2 linked regions of the Drosophila melanogaster genome follow. The protein of the gene in region 2 interacts with the protein of the main gene of each other region in a pairwise test. Each region holds a gene or a part of one and is shown on either strand. Other genes may lie near its edges.

Evidence for each region. The genes of interacting proteins can lie anywhere in the genome.
Region 1: the proteins of CaMKII (region 2) and Abp1 interact in a two-hybrid assay, tested with the Drosophila melanogaster proteins (one large-scale study listed by BioGRID).

What each region holds. Positions count from the first base shown.
Region 1 is NT_037436.4:13,481,004-13,489,425, reverse strand, and holds Abp1 (actin binding protein 1), read left to right. Parts: upstream 1-3,145; 5' UTR 3,146-3,568; coding exon 3,569-3,823; intron 3,824-3,885; coding exon 3,886-4,337; intron 4,338-4,398; coding exon 4,399-4,575; intron 4,576-4,637; coding exon 4,638-5,116; intron 5,117-5,179; coding exon 5,180-5,412; 3' UTR 5,413-5,893; downstream 5,894-8,422. Other genes in the region: stv (starvin), read right to left, coding at 6,673-6,991, 7,057-8,390.
Region 2 is NC_004353.4:1,046,785-1,054,727, reverse strand, and holds the start of CaMKII (Calcium/calmodulin-dependent protein kinase II), read left to right. Parts: upstream 1-3,349; 5' UTR 3,350-3,385; exon of another isoform or gene 3,386-4,034; intron 4,035-4,118; 5' UTR 4,119-4,208; coding exon 4,209-4,273; intron 4,274-4,335; coding exon 4,336-4,430; intron 4,431-5,481; coding exon 5,482-5,541; intron 5,542-6,169; coding exon 6,170-6,224; intron 6,225-6,579; coding exon 6,580-6,905; intron 6,906-6,998; coding exon 6,999-7,093; intron 7,094-7,152; coding exon 7,153-7,275; intron 7,276-7,337; coding exon 7,338-7,464; intron 7,465-7,943. UniProt on the Drosophila melanogaster protein: A key regulator of plasticity in synaptic physiology and behavior, alterations in its activity produce pleiotrophic effects that involve synaptic transmission and development as well as various aspects of behavior. Directly modulates eag potassium channels.

The DNA.
Region 1 (8,422 bases), on a different chromosome or scaffold from region 2:
CTGCGGAATTTGTCAAATATTCAGAAATTATGGCTGATAAAGCCGTTCGCCAATGGGTAAATAAACAGAAAAATGAAACTGAAACTGAGGCAAACATAAACATAAATTGGGGCGGCTATTATCGGAATTCCATGGCTGGGCAGGCATGATTTGCATGTTATCAGTGGCAAATGGGGGGAGGGGACGAAATCACAGCCCAAACAGCCGGTTATGTGCTTATCGTTGCTACCCCCATTATAAATTGTGCAATTACCCGGAGAGCATGCCTAATCAAATTGCCTTTTTGTTTAACAATTATACACATATTTGCGATCCAGCGCACTGAATACCATACCACAACTATATGCCACTCACTCTCTGCCGGCCATTTCTTTGGCATGTCACGCGGTTTGCCGCTCTGGGTGGTGTGCCATGGTGTGTCGCATGGTGGGCAGAGAATGCAAATTGCAAATATACATATAAAAGATATGTCGCCAGTACAGAAATATGCACTACGGACGAACAAATGAACGAACGAATGCCCCATCCACAGCCACATCAAGTCGACAATTCGTGCTCGTCAGCCGCAGTGGCACTACGAAAACGACTGGCTGACTGGCTGGCTGGCTGGCTATTATTGATAAGGGGTCCCCGGGTCCGGTGGCCGACGATACTTCACATATGCCAACCGCTCGACTGCCGCTCTCTGCCATCGAAAATGCGGCATTTGACACATTTATGAAAATCGGAATCGGAATGCGCCGCAAACTCATTTTGTTGGAATGTTTTGTTGTCGTTTTTTTGTACGAAAATAAAACATTTCTCGGATTCGTCGAGTGTTTATGCGTTCGCACAGTGTTCGCGGCCAGGAATCCGCTTGCGTCCATTGTCGCACTCATCGATGTCGCCGGGTGGGTAGAATTTCGGAAGAAACTGTCTGACTGGGGGATCGCGGTTACAAAGAGGAAGATGTCAGCCGGAAAGGGGGCACTGTTGCAATCGTGAATCATGACTGGAGCACGCAGAAGGGTCTGCGACTGGATACACTGAGAGGAGTTAGAGCCCAATAGCAAATCTGAATTCAAAGATTAAATGTAATATGGCAAAATGTGATAACAAACAGCACCTCTGATTGGTAGCATACGAAGTATGTGAATAATAATCAGATTACATTTGGGAATTCATTAACTAGGCATGAAATCGTTTGCAAAACGTTTTGTTACATTTTGTTTCTTTATATAATGTGACTTTGATAGTCTAGAATATAATGATGTTTTTATGTAAGCAAAAATCTTGACATCTATTAAGACTTATCAGTTTAGCAGACTTGTAGAGTTTTCCAAGTTCATTCACATTAAATCCATTCAGAAATTATTTTAAATTTGTAAAGAGCTACTACTAATTTGAATCACTGCTTTACATTCCCATGAATGTTTTAGACGCAAGATGTTCATATTACTGGGCATTTCTTTCTGTGTCTGACACATTGTTGAAATACTTTCCGAGTCTTCTTGGCTCAAAGGTGAAAGCCATAAAAGAGCTGTGTATAACCCCCACCCCCACTGCCCCGTTTGGGTTGAGTACATCAGGGCATGTTGTTGGCCAAGTTGAAATCATAAAAATTGTCGACTCTTTTTAAACGGAATTGGTTAATGGCTCCAGTTGGTGTTTTTTTGTTGGTCTGTAAGTCTGGGTCGGATCGGTTTGTTCACTTACCGCTGGGATTGTTTTGCACCATGGTCGCCGCTCTAGAGAGTACATCCAGCGCCGTTTCCATGATGATCTCAACGCTTCTACGTGGGATTGGACGTGGATTTGGAGTTGGACTTGGACTTGGTTTCGCTGCTCCTGCACCGACTCGATCTGCACCGCATGAGTTTCACACTGAAAATGCAAAGAAATTGACCATGAACAGCCGCACCACACACACTTAAGCCGCACACACATCTCTCTCGTATGTGTGCCTTACAATATATACACCGAGATATCCAAGTGAAAAACTGGATATATCGCCCGAGCCTGGCATTGGCATATATGTAAATGGAACAAAACCAAAACCAAAGCCAAAACCAAACCAAAGCGAACAAAGACTGACTGCCTGACTGGCTGACTTGAAACAAGTAAGACGAAGGCGAAATCCTGCTGCCAAACAGTTGCCATCTGATCGGAAAGCTGTGGAAGTGGATGCTGATGAGGGGACATGCACGGTGGCGGGGCGGTGAGGGGCCACGATGCACTTGGGACTGGTTTTTTTCGGAGGCCCCAAGACCAAGAGTTCGGGGGCTGCTCCGTTGAATATTTCGGCAATGACCAAAGTACAGCAGCCAGAGCCATATTGTTGCTAGCCAGTCAGCCAACCATACAGCCAGCCAGCATCCGACGTCTAGTTTCCACATTAATATACGTAAATATCAGGCCACAACAGTGGAGCCACTTTACCTTTCGCCAGGTGTGCGCCTTCAAATCCTCGCTGGAATCCTGCTCCTCAGCTGTACGGCGATTTATCCTCGCTAATTTTCACCGACTTTTCACGATTTGCGCTGGGAAAAGCGGGGGTTCGATGATTTTTGGTATAATTGCAATAATAGTTCAGTTCGCGTTAGAGCTGGAAGATACGTCGATGTAACATCGATGGCCAAAGTCATCAGTCTGTATTCACATCGATATTTGCTCAGCCTTACCAACACTAATATTGTTCAGCGGTGACTTAAGCCCACATATAACATTAGCGTTGACTCGAACCATTTTTAGAAAACTTAATGTACAAACAATGTAAACATACCTAACAACCTAAAACATATTATTTGTCAATAGTATTTGCAAAGTATATTATAAGCAAATATAAAGGTTATGATATGAATAAACACCATATACCAGTTTTTTCCATTGGATAGAGATACAAAAAAGTTGAATAAAATATAAAAACGAAAAATGTTCGTATGTGTGATTATTAAAAAAGAAGATAATGCTTATATATATAGTTGAAACTTTACGACTAACACCTATAAGAAAAACGATAAAGTAAATCAAAGCCTATTAGACGAGGTACACGTTACTAGATACGTTCTAAAACCTCTGTTATTTAATTTCAATTTTACAAGTAAAAACCATCGATAGCGGCACAGTGGCAACATTGAAAGTATCGATTAGACATCGCCTGTTGTCCCAGCTCTAGTTTGTTGTTGCAAAAAAAGTGTGTGGGTCGCCGCCAGCGATCGAATATTTTAAAATTCCAATCAAATTGGTTAATTGGGGAGTTGCAATTGCTTGAGCGTTAAGTTAAACCTATTTCTGCACGCATAACTCGAAGGATTAAGGTGGAAAAGTGGAATTTGGAAAGCCGCTGGAAATTCGCACATACTGGAAAATCAATCACCCACTATCCCATTGTTCTGCTTGTGTTTGTGTACGTCTGTGTGCCTTTGTGAGGCGGCTGCACTTAATTAAAATTTAAGACAAGACAACCCAAGCAAATTTGGAGTCTTCGCGAGGCGTTGGCTTTCACTTGACGAAGAGGGCACCCCGATAAGGCGACCCAGTGAAAGCTGGCCAAGATCTCGCTGCTCAAGGTCGTTGTCAGTCTGGAATTATGGCCGTCAGCTTCGAGAAGAATCGGGCGCAAATAGTGGCCGCCTGGAAGGATGTGCTGGACGATAAGAGCGACACGAACTGGTCCCTCTTTGGCTACGAGGGTCAGACCAACGAGCTGAAGGTGGTGGCCACCGGCGATGGCGGCGTGGATGAGCTAAACGAAGACCTAAATAGCGGCAAGATTATGTACGCCTTCGTCCGAATCGAAGACCCCAAAACGGGCCTCAACAAGTACTTGCTCATCAACTGGCAGGTGAGTCCGACGGCGCCCTTATCTAATCGAGCTACGCATAATCTGACTGTGCTCCCATTCAGGGCGAGGGCGCACCTGTTCTACGCAAGGGTACCTGCGCCAACCACATACGTGATGTGAGTAATTTGCTGTCCGGCGCTCACCTTACCATCAATGCCCGGAACGAGGACGATATTGACTTGGATCGGCTTCTCAAGAAGCTGAGCACCGTGAGCTCAGCCTACAGCTTTAAGGAACCTCGAGGCGCCATGGAGGAGCAGAAGGCGCCGGTGGGAACCAACTATACTCGGGTCATTCCCACCAAGGAGTTAAACGCCAGCGTTATGCAGGACTTCTGGAAAAAGGAGGAGGCCGAGGAGAAATTGCGACAGGAGGCAGAGAAGGAATCCAAGCGGCTTGAGCTTCAAAAGTTGGAGCAGGAGCAACGTAGTCGCGAGGAGAAGGAGCACAAGGAGCGGGAGAAGTTGGTCATAAGCACCACCAAGCTCCAGCCGGCCCACGTACCCATCAAAACGTAAACAAAAACATCGGAATTTGACCTTCTCGGTAGTAAAAATTCTTTTTTTATCAAACAGGTCACCGCAACCTTTGAGCCCTGAGAAAACTGCACCAGGATTTGCCAACAATCTGACCGATGCGGAGCGCATGCGTCAGGCGAGGAACCAGGAGGCCCGCGAATTGATTGGCTCTCGTGTGGGTGCTGCCAAGGCCATGTTTACAAAGCACACGAGCGAGGGACAACTTCAGTCTAAGTGCGTCCTTGCCCCTCTCCTATTTTGTTGTATCAGAAATAAACTGCTCTTTTGATTCATAGACTAAATACGCAACCGCCGGCCAAACCAGCTCGCAACTCGATTGCCCAGCGCATCAACGTTTTCAACCAAAACCAGCCTCAAGATGCACCTGTGCCTTCACCACCACGCGCTGCGTCCCCTGCCAAACCGTTGCCTGTAGAGGCTCCCGAACCAGTAGTCCCCGCTCCAGCTATAGCTCCTGCTGCTCCCGTGGCTGCCGAGGTTGTTTCCACAATAGCGGAGGTGGAGGAGTCGCAACCGGTAGACGATTTGCCACTGGCCCATGAGAGCGAACAGTTCTCGACTATCAAGCGATCACCCCATAGTAAATCGAACTCGCTGCAGTCTCAGTCGCCCGACGAGACCACCTCTTCCAATGAAACAGACACCGCTGTTTCCCAGGAACAGGAAGAGGAGGTCCGCACCAAGGTGTCAGTCACCGTGCAGCAGTCGCAATCGGTCAAGTCGAGCGGCATGAGCACACTCGAAAGGAATGCATGTACGTAAACCATAGCTATGACCCGTTGTTCGTTCTATATTTAAACACGAGTGTTTTTTGTAGTAACGGATTTGGTAAACGAGGACGATTTTATCTGCCAGGAGACCTTAGGCGATCTGGGACAACGGGCACGAGCTCTATACGATTACCAGGCAGCCGACGAGACAGAGATCACTTTCGATCCAGGCGATGTCATTACGCATATCGATCAAATCGACGAGGGATGGTGGCAGGGACTGGGCCCTGATGGAACCTATGGACTGTTTCCGGCAAACTATGTCGAGATCATCAACTAGGGAAACCCAAGTGCCAAGCAGCTGGGACGCCCTTTTGCTAAATATCTACACCAATGCAGCTAGCAACTATATTTTGGATCCGGACTATAGCTACTTAAACACTTTACCCCATAATCTTGAACAATAATGCGATACACCTAGAAGAGATTCAACGATGACTAAATGCGACTATAAGATTTTTATCGTACATCACGCGTCTGTTTTTTATCTACATACATATTATTATATAACGTATAATCCATGCCACATATGCAACCCTATCATACGTTGTTCCCATTTGTATACATATTATATCATTGTTTGGCCTCGATTGCCGAAGCCGTGTTGCGTCCTTTTAAAATGTTCTTAGGATACATACAAAGTAACCACTTAGTCAGTATTTAAGGCCCGCTCCATTCCCGATCCAGGGTTCTTTTGTATATGTATTATTGATCGAGATTTATAACCTTTTCGATAATAAACTTTGATAATTGTGCAACCGAAGGATAACACAGTTTTATGGTCAACAATATCTACATTTATTTTCGCATTAATTAGTAGCATAAATAGTTATCATAGTTTTTTTTTTTTTTCTATAAGAGTTTACGTTCGTTTAACAATTCACCTGCAGCAAAGCCGTGAGTGGTGCACTCGGCGTGATTGGATGGATGAGTTGGCCTGTGGCAAGCAAGCGCGTCTGCTGTAGATTTGTATGAGATCATACGGCGGCTTGCTGCCCCTGTTGCTGCTCATCGGTACAATTTACGTATAAAAACTGGACTCAGGTTCAAAAATATCCTCATGGTGATCATCTATCGCTTAAACATAATCAGCTCTTTTAAGTGAAGCAACCCTTGTTGCCAAATCGTTTTCGCTCTGTTAACTTCCGAATTCTATGCAGGCACATTTTCTCAATATTAATTCTCTTACTAGCCTATAATCTACGCTGTGTGGTGTGTGTGTGTGTGTGTGTGTGTTATGATGTGTGGGGATGAGTGGGTGTTGAGTGGTTGACACGTGAGATTTGCATATGTTTAGATAGTACGGTTGTGCTTCTACGAAATACTAGCAAAGATTCGTCGCCAGCTCCTCCTATTCACATTCACATTACACATCAAATTCACTTTCACATTTACTTTGAATTCAGTAAAATCAAGTCTGTCGCTGTCCGTTGATGAGTCGGGATCGGAACTCTTCTCTATCCTCCGCCTGTTGTCACTTAAATTTGGTTAATTTGCGTAGCTGCTTCGAAACGGTCGCCTTGTAGAGGCGCTGTGTTCATCATTCCGACGTCGTTGTGGTTGTCTCCGACTGAACGGCGGACTGTGTCGCCTCCGCGGCGGTGGCTTCCGAAGCAGCTGCGCCCTCGACGGCAGCAGCATTTGGTGGTGCTGGTAGAGGGATGGGTTCCTGCATCTTTGTAGCATCCTGTGGCTGTGGAGTCACTGGCTCCGCATTTTGTCCGGCCGCTTCCGAGGCAGCAACTGCACCTGTGTCAACCGCTGGAGCTGTTGCGCTAGGTGCAGGTGCTGCTCCTGATGCCGCTCTGGCATTCTCCTCGGCCTTGGCCTCCAGCACATTTATCGAAGCCTGAATGCATCTGCAAGGAACAATCATTGAATTAATTAAATTCGATAATGAGCTCTGGTGACTCTGGTCACTTACTTGATAGCCTCCTTTCGGGCCAGACGAATGCTGTCCTTGCCGTTTGTGTCGATGGTGTCTAGCTTAAGCAGGTTGCGGGTCAGCATCTCGTCCAGGTAGGCGTACTCCTTCTCCTCGCGCGTTCCCTTGAACTGCTCCACCTTGCCCATGAGCTCCAGTACGTCGCGCTGAATGTCCTGGATTTTGTTAATAGAGTTGAGGGTATGTGGTGTCTGTGGCGGCAATCCAGCGGCTCCCTCAACTGGCACCTGCTGCTCAGGTTGCGCCTGGGTGTTTAGTGGCGTCGGTCTGTTGTGCTGCTGTGGAGCAGCGTGTGCCTGTGGCTGCGCCTGCGCATATGCCTGTGCCTGAGCTTGGGCCTGAGCACTGGGCGGAGCGTTCTGGTTCGGTATCTCCTTGTGGGCATTGATGATGGGCTCGGAGCGACCCTCAACAAAGATGGGAATGGTGCGCACATAGGTGCCACCCGGGGTCTGTGGAGCTGGCGGCGGGGTCTGCTGCTTTTGCTGGGGATGCGTCTGCTGGTGCGGCGCATAGTAGGTCTTGAACTGCTGACCCTGAACGGGCGGACTTGTCTGGGTGCCAAACGGTTGGCTATGTACTCCCGGTTGCTGATGCTGTTGCTGCTGCTGGTGATACTGCAGATTCTGCTGCTGCTGCTCTGGCGGAGGGGCGGAGTGGGATCGCAGTCCCTGATCCTGCTCGGCGACACTCTTCACGCCCATGTCGACAGTGTTTCGCAGTCCGTGCTGGTTCAAGTTAGTCGGCGGGGCACAATCAACCTCCGAGCGACCGGCAGGATCCTCCGTCTGGATGGCAGCATCGCAAAGGCGCTTTGAAGGCGTCTGCGGCACCTGCTGCTGGGTTGGTCCGGCATAGACTGGCTGTTGCTGGGGCGGCACACCGAACTGGAAGTGCGTCTGGGGTTGCTGTTGGGTGTACTGCGGCTGTGGCTGCGGCTGTTGCTGCTGTGGAACTTGTCCGGGTGCAGGAGCAGCTCCGGTACCACGTCTGCCTCCGAAACCATCTGGGATATACTGGCGGAACTCCGAGGGCAGCCGATTAAAGAAGTCATCATCGTGGTCCATGTGAGTGTTGGCCCCACCGGCCATTCGACCTCGGCGGCCCATCGTTGAGAAGCGGGGGAAACCAAAGTCTGGATCGTCGAAATAGGATGGAAAGTCATCATCAGCATGGACTTGACCACTGGGACCGTGCAAACTGCTCCGCTTACGTGAGTCGCCGAAGCCGGCGAAGGGATCGTGCATCCTGCCCAGGTGCGAGCGCGGGAACATGTTGTCCATGTCCATGTTCGGTTCGAATCCAAAGGTCGGCTGCTATCAACAGAGAGTAATTATAAATAATT
Region 2 (7,943 bases):
ATTTTTAATTTTTTTATTTATAGTTAAAATAAATATTGTTGAATTATATTTCATAAAAAAATTCCGTTTAATTAAGCAAATAATTCTTAATTTTTACCTTTAAAGTCAAAAATTTAACTTTTTTCACAGTGTCTAAACACTTTTTTGACAAACTGTATGTGTACTGCAACTATTTATGAATAATAACAATGAAAATATGGTTTATTTTAAATATTTTACGATATTTGATTATAGTGTTTTAGATTGCATTGGGAAATTAGGGTCTGTGAAAATCAAGAGGTCATAATGGAAGATATCGCCCTGTAATAGTTTAAATACATCTGTCATCTCTTTTATTGCGGCTTTACTATTTTTGTTGTTACGAAAAACTCAAATTTTTTTAAACAGTTTACTCGTCAATTTTCCTTTGTCAGAGTAAGAGTCTATGTCTCTAAAATGTACTTGCTTAGTTTCAACTTCCTAGCATTTATAGTTCTTGAGATCGAGGCGGTTTACACAGATTGACGAATGGGGTAAAACGGCTAATGTAATCATACCTTGTGCGTTTCAGATATCAGTTTTAAATTCTAATTCATTTGTAAATTGAAGAGCTCCAACAGACTGAAATGAAATGATTACAAATTAAGGATTTCATTTATTTTACTTTAAATAAAATTAAATTTAAATTTAAATATTTATTTTTCTTTTTGTAACATTTTAGGTCACGGTGCGCATGACAAAGTGTTGTGAAACGTTGGTTTGAGTACTTATTAGTCTAACTATGGAGCATTTATGTGGGCAGTTTTATGGAATCACGGCCTAAAATAAAAAGATAATATGAAATATATTACTTTAGAGTTCCAATCAACCCAATAATGTTTAATGCGGAGGTAGTTCAGTATAGTGATATGTGCACAAATTAATGCGCAGACGCTCCTGAAACGAACCGTCGTTGGCAAAAGTTTTCGATTTAACGACATTATGAGACGAAAAAGCTTTTCTCTCTAGCAGTTCATCGAATCAAACGCGGCCGCAAAATCTTGTTAGTCAGTATTGAATTCGATTTTCAAGAAAACAGACGTTCTAAAAATTTCGGTATCTAGCTGTGTGTTTCGTGTTCTCCCAGCTCGTTAAAAACATATACATATAGCTTTTTAAATACTCTTATAAGCATTTTGAACAAACATTTATCAGATCTCCTGAAGTTTAAAATATTGTTATTCGCAATTGAAAAGAACACATCAAGTATAGGTATCAAATTGGATTTAATATACATACATATGTACTCACTTATGTATTTTTATATATATGTATATTTATATAAGTTTACGTATCTATAATACCTGATACAATTCTGGGTCAACACAGATTCTAATATATACATGAGTATACACATATACATATATTTGATATATGTATGGTCTCTTACTGTGTATATGCCAACTAATATTAAATACTTTTTTCGCGCGTATAACGATTGCATATTGTAAAGTTAATATATATATTCACACGCTTCACTTATATCTTAAAAGGACATTTATACAACATCAGTATGTACCCCATTTTGTGCCTTTGTTCAGTTACGCAGTAAATATAAATATATGACACTTAAAAATTTTGTAATTGTTATTGCACAATATACATACATCTTACAAATTACTCTTGATATCTACAAGAAAGTTTAAAACATACCTAAATACTTACGAGTTATGATAAATGCTTTTTTTTTAATTTTAAAAAAGTGTTTCACATTCTATATATCGTCCCTCCTAGTCCGAAAAATGGGTTTAGTAAAACATTTCTGAAGGTCTCATCCAAATAGTATATTTAATTCGCGTACATAGCGCGTGTTTATATGATTTAATGAAAAAGTATAATTTGCAACAAGTAATTTCCAAGACCCTGAAATATCCTTGCTAAAAGGGGTGGGGCGTTTTACCATTAAGCTCATCAAAAAAAGCTTCAACGCATGTAACCTGCAAAGGATACATACCTACATATATATGTACGTATATATATAACTGCTTCCCAGATACATTCTCATAATCAGGATTTTCTTTTTTAAGAAATTAACCAAAAACACCTGTCGCTTTTTTTAATTGATTGAAATATGTCAATGAGAGTTAAATATATCTGGTTTAAAACAAAGATAATAAAGTTTTGATCACAAATTTTAAACTTTTCGTAACATTTGACTTGACAATATTATATTATAAGTATGTTATTTCAAAATTGCGAGGGTGCAATTAAGGGTCTACATATACCTTTTCCAGGGAAACACTTCTTTTTCATGGTGATTGGGTCTAGTTTTAAAAAAACACGTACAACAAACTAAAAACTAACAGTACCGCTGTTACCGGATATGGCAAAAAACAAACCTCACGGAGAGGTATAAAACAAGAGAGAACGTGACAGTAGTTCATCGACTATTTAACAACCCGACAGAAATGTGCAAAATAAAAGAATAAATAAAAATAATGAAACAAAAAAACAAAACACTTTGTAAATGTGTGGGCAAAATCGAAATAAAAGATTTCAAGACTGAAAGAAGCAAATTATTTTTCAAAAAAATTGGAGTTACAGTTTTAGGCGGATTAAATGTCTGGTTCTCAAGAAAACAAATTTGCATGCTTTATCCCATGCCTGTCGTCCGTATCAACGCTGTTACCGCTGAAACTATAATAACTGGAAAGTAAAACGAAAAAATAATTTCCATTTTTTATTCCTTTACTCAATACGTAATATAGGTTAATAGTAATGATTGTTGCTGCTCTTGATCAGCTGGCTATCACACTAGCTTCGTTGAAAAGTATGTAACTTGCAGAACGACGCGTTTCCGAGCGTTTAAACTATATATAGTCTTCACCAGGATCAATAGCCGAGTCGAATTTTCATGTCCGTCTATCTGTATGAACTCCACGATCTCAGGAACTATAAAAGCTAGAAAGTTAAGATTGTGCCATGCCCTTTTTAAGTTTTCGTTTATTTTTTTTCAAAAAATTGTTGAAATTGTTTTGCCAATTTTAATCGGTACGCCAGAAAAATGTTTAATATTCTCGTTCATACTTCCACTAGCTGAGTAACAATTATCTGATAGTCGAAAAGCTTTACTATAGCGTTTTCTCTTGTTTTAATTCTGCAATGGATTCGTATTTTTTCAGGGCCATAGTTTAATTTGATATTGAAAACGCCACTGAGTGGTTGATATGCATATCGATGTAAGGCCCGTTTACACTGCACTAACCGCGGAGTTATGGTTTTACATATGTAGATACCTTTGCTATTTTGATGTGCATGGGGAACAGTTAAGTGTAGCTTTGGTAAGGAGTTGACCCCTATGTTTAATAATCGAGTTTATTACATTTTTCGTCTATCGAATGTCATGTCATCTCTAGGCAACAACAAGGTATCAGATTCAACGTTTGAGATAGGATAATACATTTTCAGACATTTTTCAATTTGTGCCCCCGCACATGTTGTTTCTTGCGAAGTATGGTGTTTTTTCGTATGATTTCATGATCACATGAAAAAACTTCAACCACCAAAATCTTCAAAATGGAGGTCGAGTTTTCTAGTTTAAGCAACGTGCTTTAAGAGAACTCACTTGAATTACCAACTCAATAAGAAACCTGCGGCTGTTTAAAATAACATAACCCTTATATTATTACAAACCATTTAAAATTTGAAGAACTATATGTAGATTGCTGGTCTGTTTTGCATCGACTCCACTGAGTAATATAGAATTTTAAAATTGGAATAGCGAGACATTCTTTTAATTTTACCGATATGTGTTTCTATGAAATAAGTTACCTAATCTGTGCTCTGAATACTTCTGAATTACATTGGCGAGCTTTACTTTACGAGCTTCATGCCCGATCTTATACAGAGAAGAATGCAAGTTTATACTATGATGGCCGGGGGATTCTCAAATACATGCAGTACCCCTTTGGATACCATAGAACCAACGCTGTCTGAAACTTTTGAACCAGCTAGTGATTACTTTATAACAAAATAATATTTAGAGAAGGCCCATGGTACCTAAATGGTACAACAATGTATGTATGTTTGTACGTTGTAAGCAATTTTTTGTATAATTTTTGTAAAACTGATTTATTATCTTATATTTAAAAATCGTTTAGAAAACAAGAAATAAAACTCCTGAAAAGTGAAATCTGTAGAGCAGTTGAAGATCTTTAGTCGCAATAGATTTTCTTAAGTGTGCCATCGCGATGGCTGCACCAGCAGCCTGTACGCGTTTTTCGGACAATTACGACATCAAAGAAGAGTTGGGAAAGTAAGTTTAACAAACTCAAGGTTAATAAATTTATTATAATAACCCGTCTATTAACATTTCAGAGGAGCATTCTCAATTGTGAAAAGATGTGTCCAAAAGTCAACTGGCTTTGAATTTGCTGCAAAAATTATCAATACAAAAAAATTAACTGCCAGAGGTAAGGCTTTCTGTGTTCTATGTAGGTTATAAATCACATATGTACGCATTTATGCTATGCACACGCATGTAGGGAAACTAAGTGCTGTTTTTAGGTAATTCGTCGAGTACAGTAAAAGGGTATACTAGATCCTTGATCCTTGGAAAGTATGTATATTCTTGATCAGGATCAATAGCCGAGTCCGTCTCTCCGTATGGTCGTCGAGATCTCAGAAACTATACAAGCTAGAAGGCATACAGATTTTAGAAACAAATACGCAGCGCAAGTTTGTTGACCCATGTTGCCACATGCGCCACGCCCTCACTTTTGAAAAATGTGTTGATATTTTTTCACATTTGTATTGGTCTTGTAAATTTCTATCGATTTGCTCAAAAAAAAGTTTGCCACGCCCATTCTAACGCCCTTTAACTTCTATCGATTTGCTTAAAAGCCGCCAACCGGTCACGTCCACACTTTGGACCAATTTTTAAACTTTTTTCTTATTTTATTCCCCAATATCTATCGTTATCCTAGAAAAATGATGAAATTTCGCGTTCCCATTCACACTAGCTGAGTAACTGGTATCTGATGCCGTTTTTTCAACGGCGATATGGCATATCGTAAGAAATCAGTAGTAAACATTGACTGTCAAAAAGTTTTCCTGTAAAATGTACTTTCTTTTTGCTAAGTACGCTTTTGGAAGGGACCATTCTTTTTGTGTAATATCTTCGTCGTCCCTATCTATTTGCCACACAAGTATCAAATAGTTCTACAGTAATTAAGTTGTATTTCTTGGTGTTGTGCTATTTAGTAATTAATAAATTTTTACTGCCAAGACGTGGCCAAAATAATTTTGGAATAGCAGTATTGGCAAAGTGTGTAATTTACAAAAAATATATTAAATAACTTTTAAGAAGTTTGAGCATGACAGCTGGGACAAATTTTGGGCTTAGAGAGAACCATTTGCTTGCTCGCCAAAAACCTCTTATTAACATATTTGTACACATGCATGTATGCATATAAGAGATGCTTATAATATATATATATATATATTTTTTTTTTTTGCTTTTAGACTTTCAAAAACTGGAACGTGAAGCAAGGATCTGCAGAAAGTTACACCATCCCAACATAGGTATGCAACGTGTATATAAATATAATTTACTTACTTATTCTTTAAAGATACGTTTTTCTGAAGATGTATGATCTACATAAAAGTAGACGAACATGGCCTAATATCACTTTGAACATCTACTATACATAATTTTTATATGTACATTCAATCACGGCTTAGACCCCAGTAGTGTTGATGACTTGCAATGTGATCCTGATAAAGGATGGTTTGACGTCCACGGTAACACAACGAAGAAAAAAATAAAATAGAGTTTAGTAGATATATCAATCCGCATCTGCAAGCAACATTCCATTCCTCGCCCTCCCTACTCTCCAATAACAAATCTTCCAAGTAATTTATAATTATAATAATTATAAAAACTTGCAGAACAGCAAAAACCGAACTCATGCAATAGACTTTCCTCTCACTAAAAGCGTAACCTAACAAAACAGTTATTTACACGGACAGTTCAAATCTAGAAACATCACTTCCTCCAGCGTCACCGACAAAATATATAATATGTTCAAAATGTATTTTATAAACATATATTTTTATAGCCTTTAAGGCTTATAATCATTGTCATCCGTAAAAAAAAAACATTAAATACAAATGTATACAACTAATAAATTGTTAATATGTACAATTTCAGTGCGGCTACATGACAGTATACAGGAGGAGAACTATCACTACCTTGTTTTTGACCTGTAAGCATTAACCTGCATAGACTCCTTACCAAATATTTAAATTGCCTATCCCCAAAAGTGTTTTAAAAATATGAGTTTCTAACAAATGCTTGTAAATGTGGCAATGACTCGACTATTGTTTATTGAGATTCATACTTCATCCTTTTCCCTCCGTTCGTTCATACTATAATATGAATATGAATCAAATTTTAAAGCCGCAATATAATATATATAATATAATATGAATCAAGTTTTAGCCGCAATATATTTTTGTTATATTAGAGATGTGTTTTCTGCTGTCGCAACTTAAATATAACCTAAATTTAAATTTAGAGCTTCAATCGCAAAATTTGACTATGCCTACATACATTTGCAGTGTAACCGGTGGTGAACTTTTTGAAGATATCGTTGCACGCGAATTTTATTCAGAAGCTGATGCATCACATTGTATTCAACAAATATTGGAATCGGTCAATCACTGCCACCAAAATGGTGTGGTGCACCGAGATCTGAAACCAGAGAATTTACTATTAGCTAGTAAGGCTAAGGGTGCAGCAGTGAAACTCGCTGACTTTGGTCTAGCCATTGAAGTTCAAGGCGATCATCAGGCTTGGTTTGGATTTGCCGGCACACCAGGATATCTGTCTCCTGAGGTATTGAAAAAGGAGCCCTATGGGAAATCGGTAGACATATGGGCATGTGGTAAGCAATTATAATTGTTGTAACATTTGCATGCACATGCATGCCAAACGGCAGTCGGTTACACAGTTCAACAACTATTTTATTTTTCCTCAGGAGTTATTCTTTACATACTTCTTGTCGGTTATCCACCCTTTTGGGATGAAGATCAGCACCGACTGTACTCGCAGATAAAAGCGGGAGCTTATGATGTACGGAAACTATAATAATTTATGTGGATTCATTATATTTAAATATAACTTTATTTTAGTATCCGTCTCCAGAATGGGATACGGTTACTCCAGAAGCTAAAAATCTTATTAATCAAATGCTAACCGTTAATCCAAATAAACGAATAACTGCAGCTGAGGCTTTAAAACATCCGTGGATTTGTGTAAGTGCAGACTAATTTTTCTCTTAGGTTTACATAAAGATAATGAAAAAACATTGTTACAGCAACGCGAACGTGTGGCTTCCGTTGTGCATCGCCAAGAAACCGTAGACTGTCTCAAGAAATTTAATGCGCGGCGCAAGCTAAAGGGAGCCATACTTACGACAATGTTGGCGACCAGAAATTTTTCGAGTATGTAACTTAACTTAATTAATCTTGACCACATCAATATACTTGGCGTCAACACAAAAATATACAAAAAGAATAATAAAAACGCTATGGCCGATTTCGTTGACAATTATATACCCGTTATTCAGCTTGTAGGATTGATATAAATATATTTAACTTCGTATAAAAAATACCCTTTACTCGTAGAGTAAAAAGGTAGACTATATTGTTTGAAAAGTATGTAACAAGCAGAAAGAAGCGTTTCCGAGCATAAATAGAATAATATTCTCGATCAGGATCAATAGTAGAGTCGATCTGGAACTGTCCGTCCGTATGAACGTTGAGATCTTAGGAACTATAAAAACAAGAAGGTTGAGATTACGCAACCTTTATTGATCCATATAAACACTCTAACGACCACAAACCGTACAAAACTGCGACGCCCAAACTTTTGAAAAATGTGTAGATATTTTTTCACATTTGTATTAGTCTTGTAAATTTTT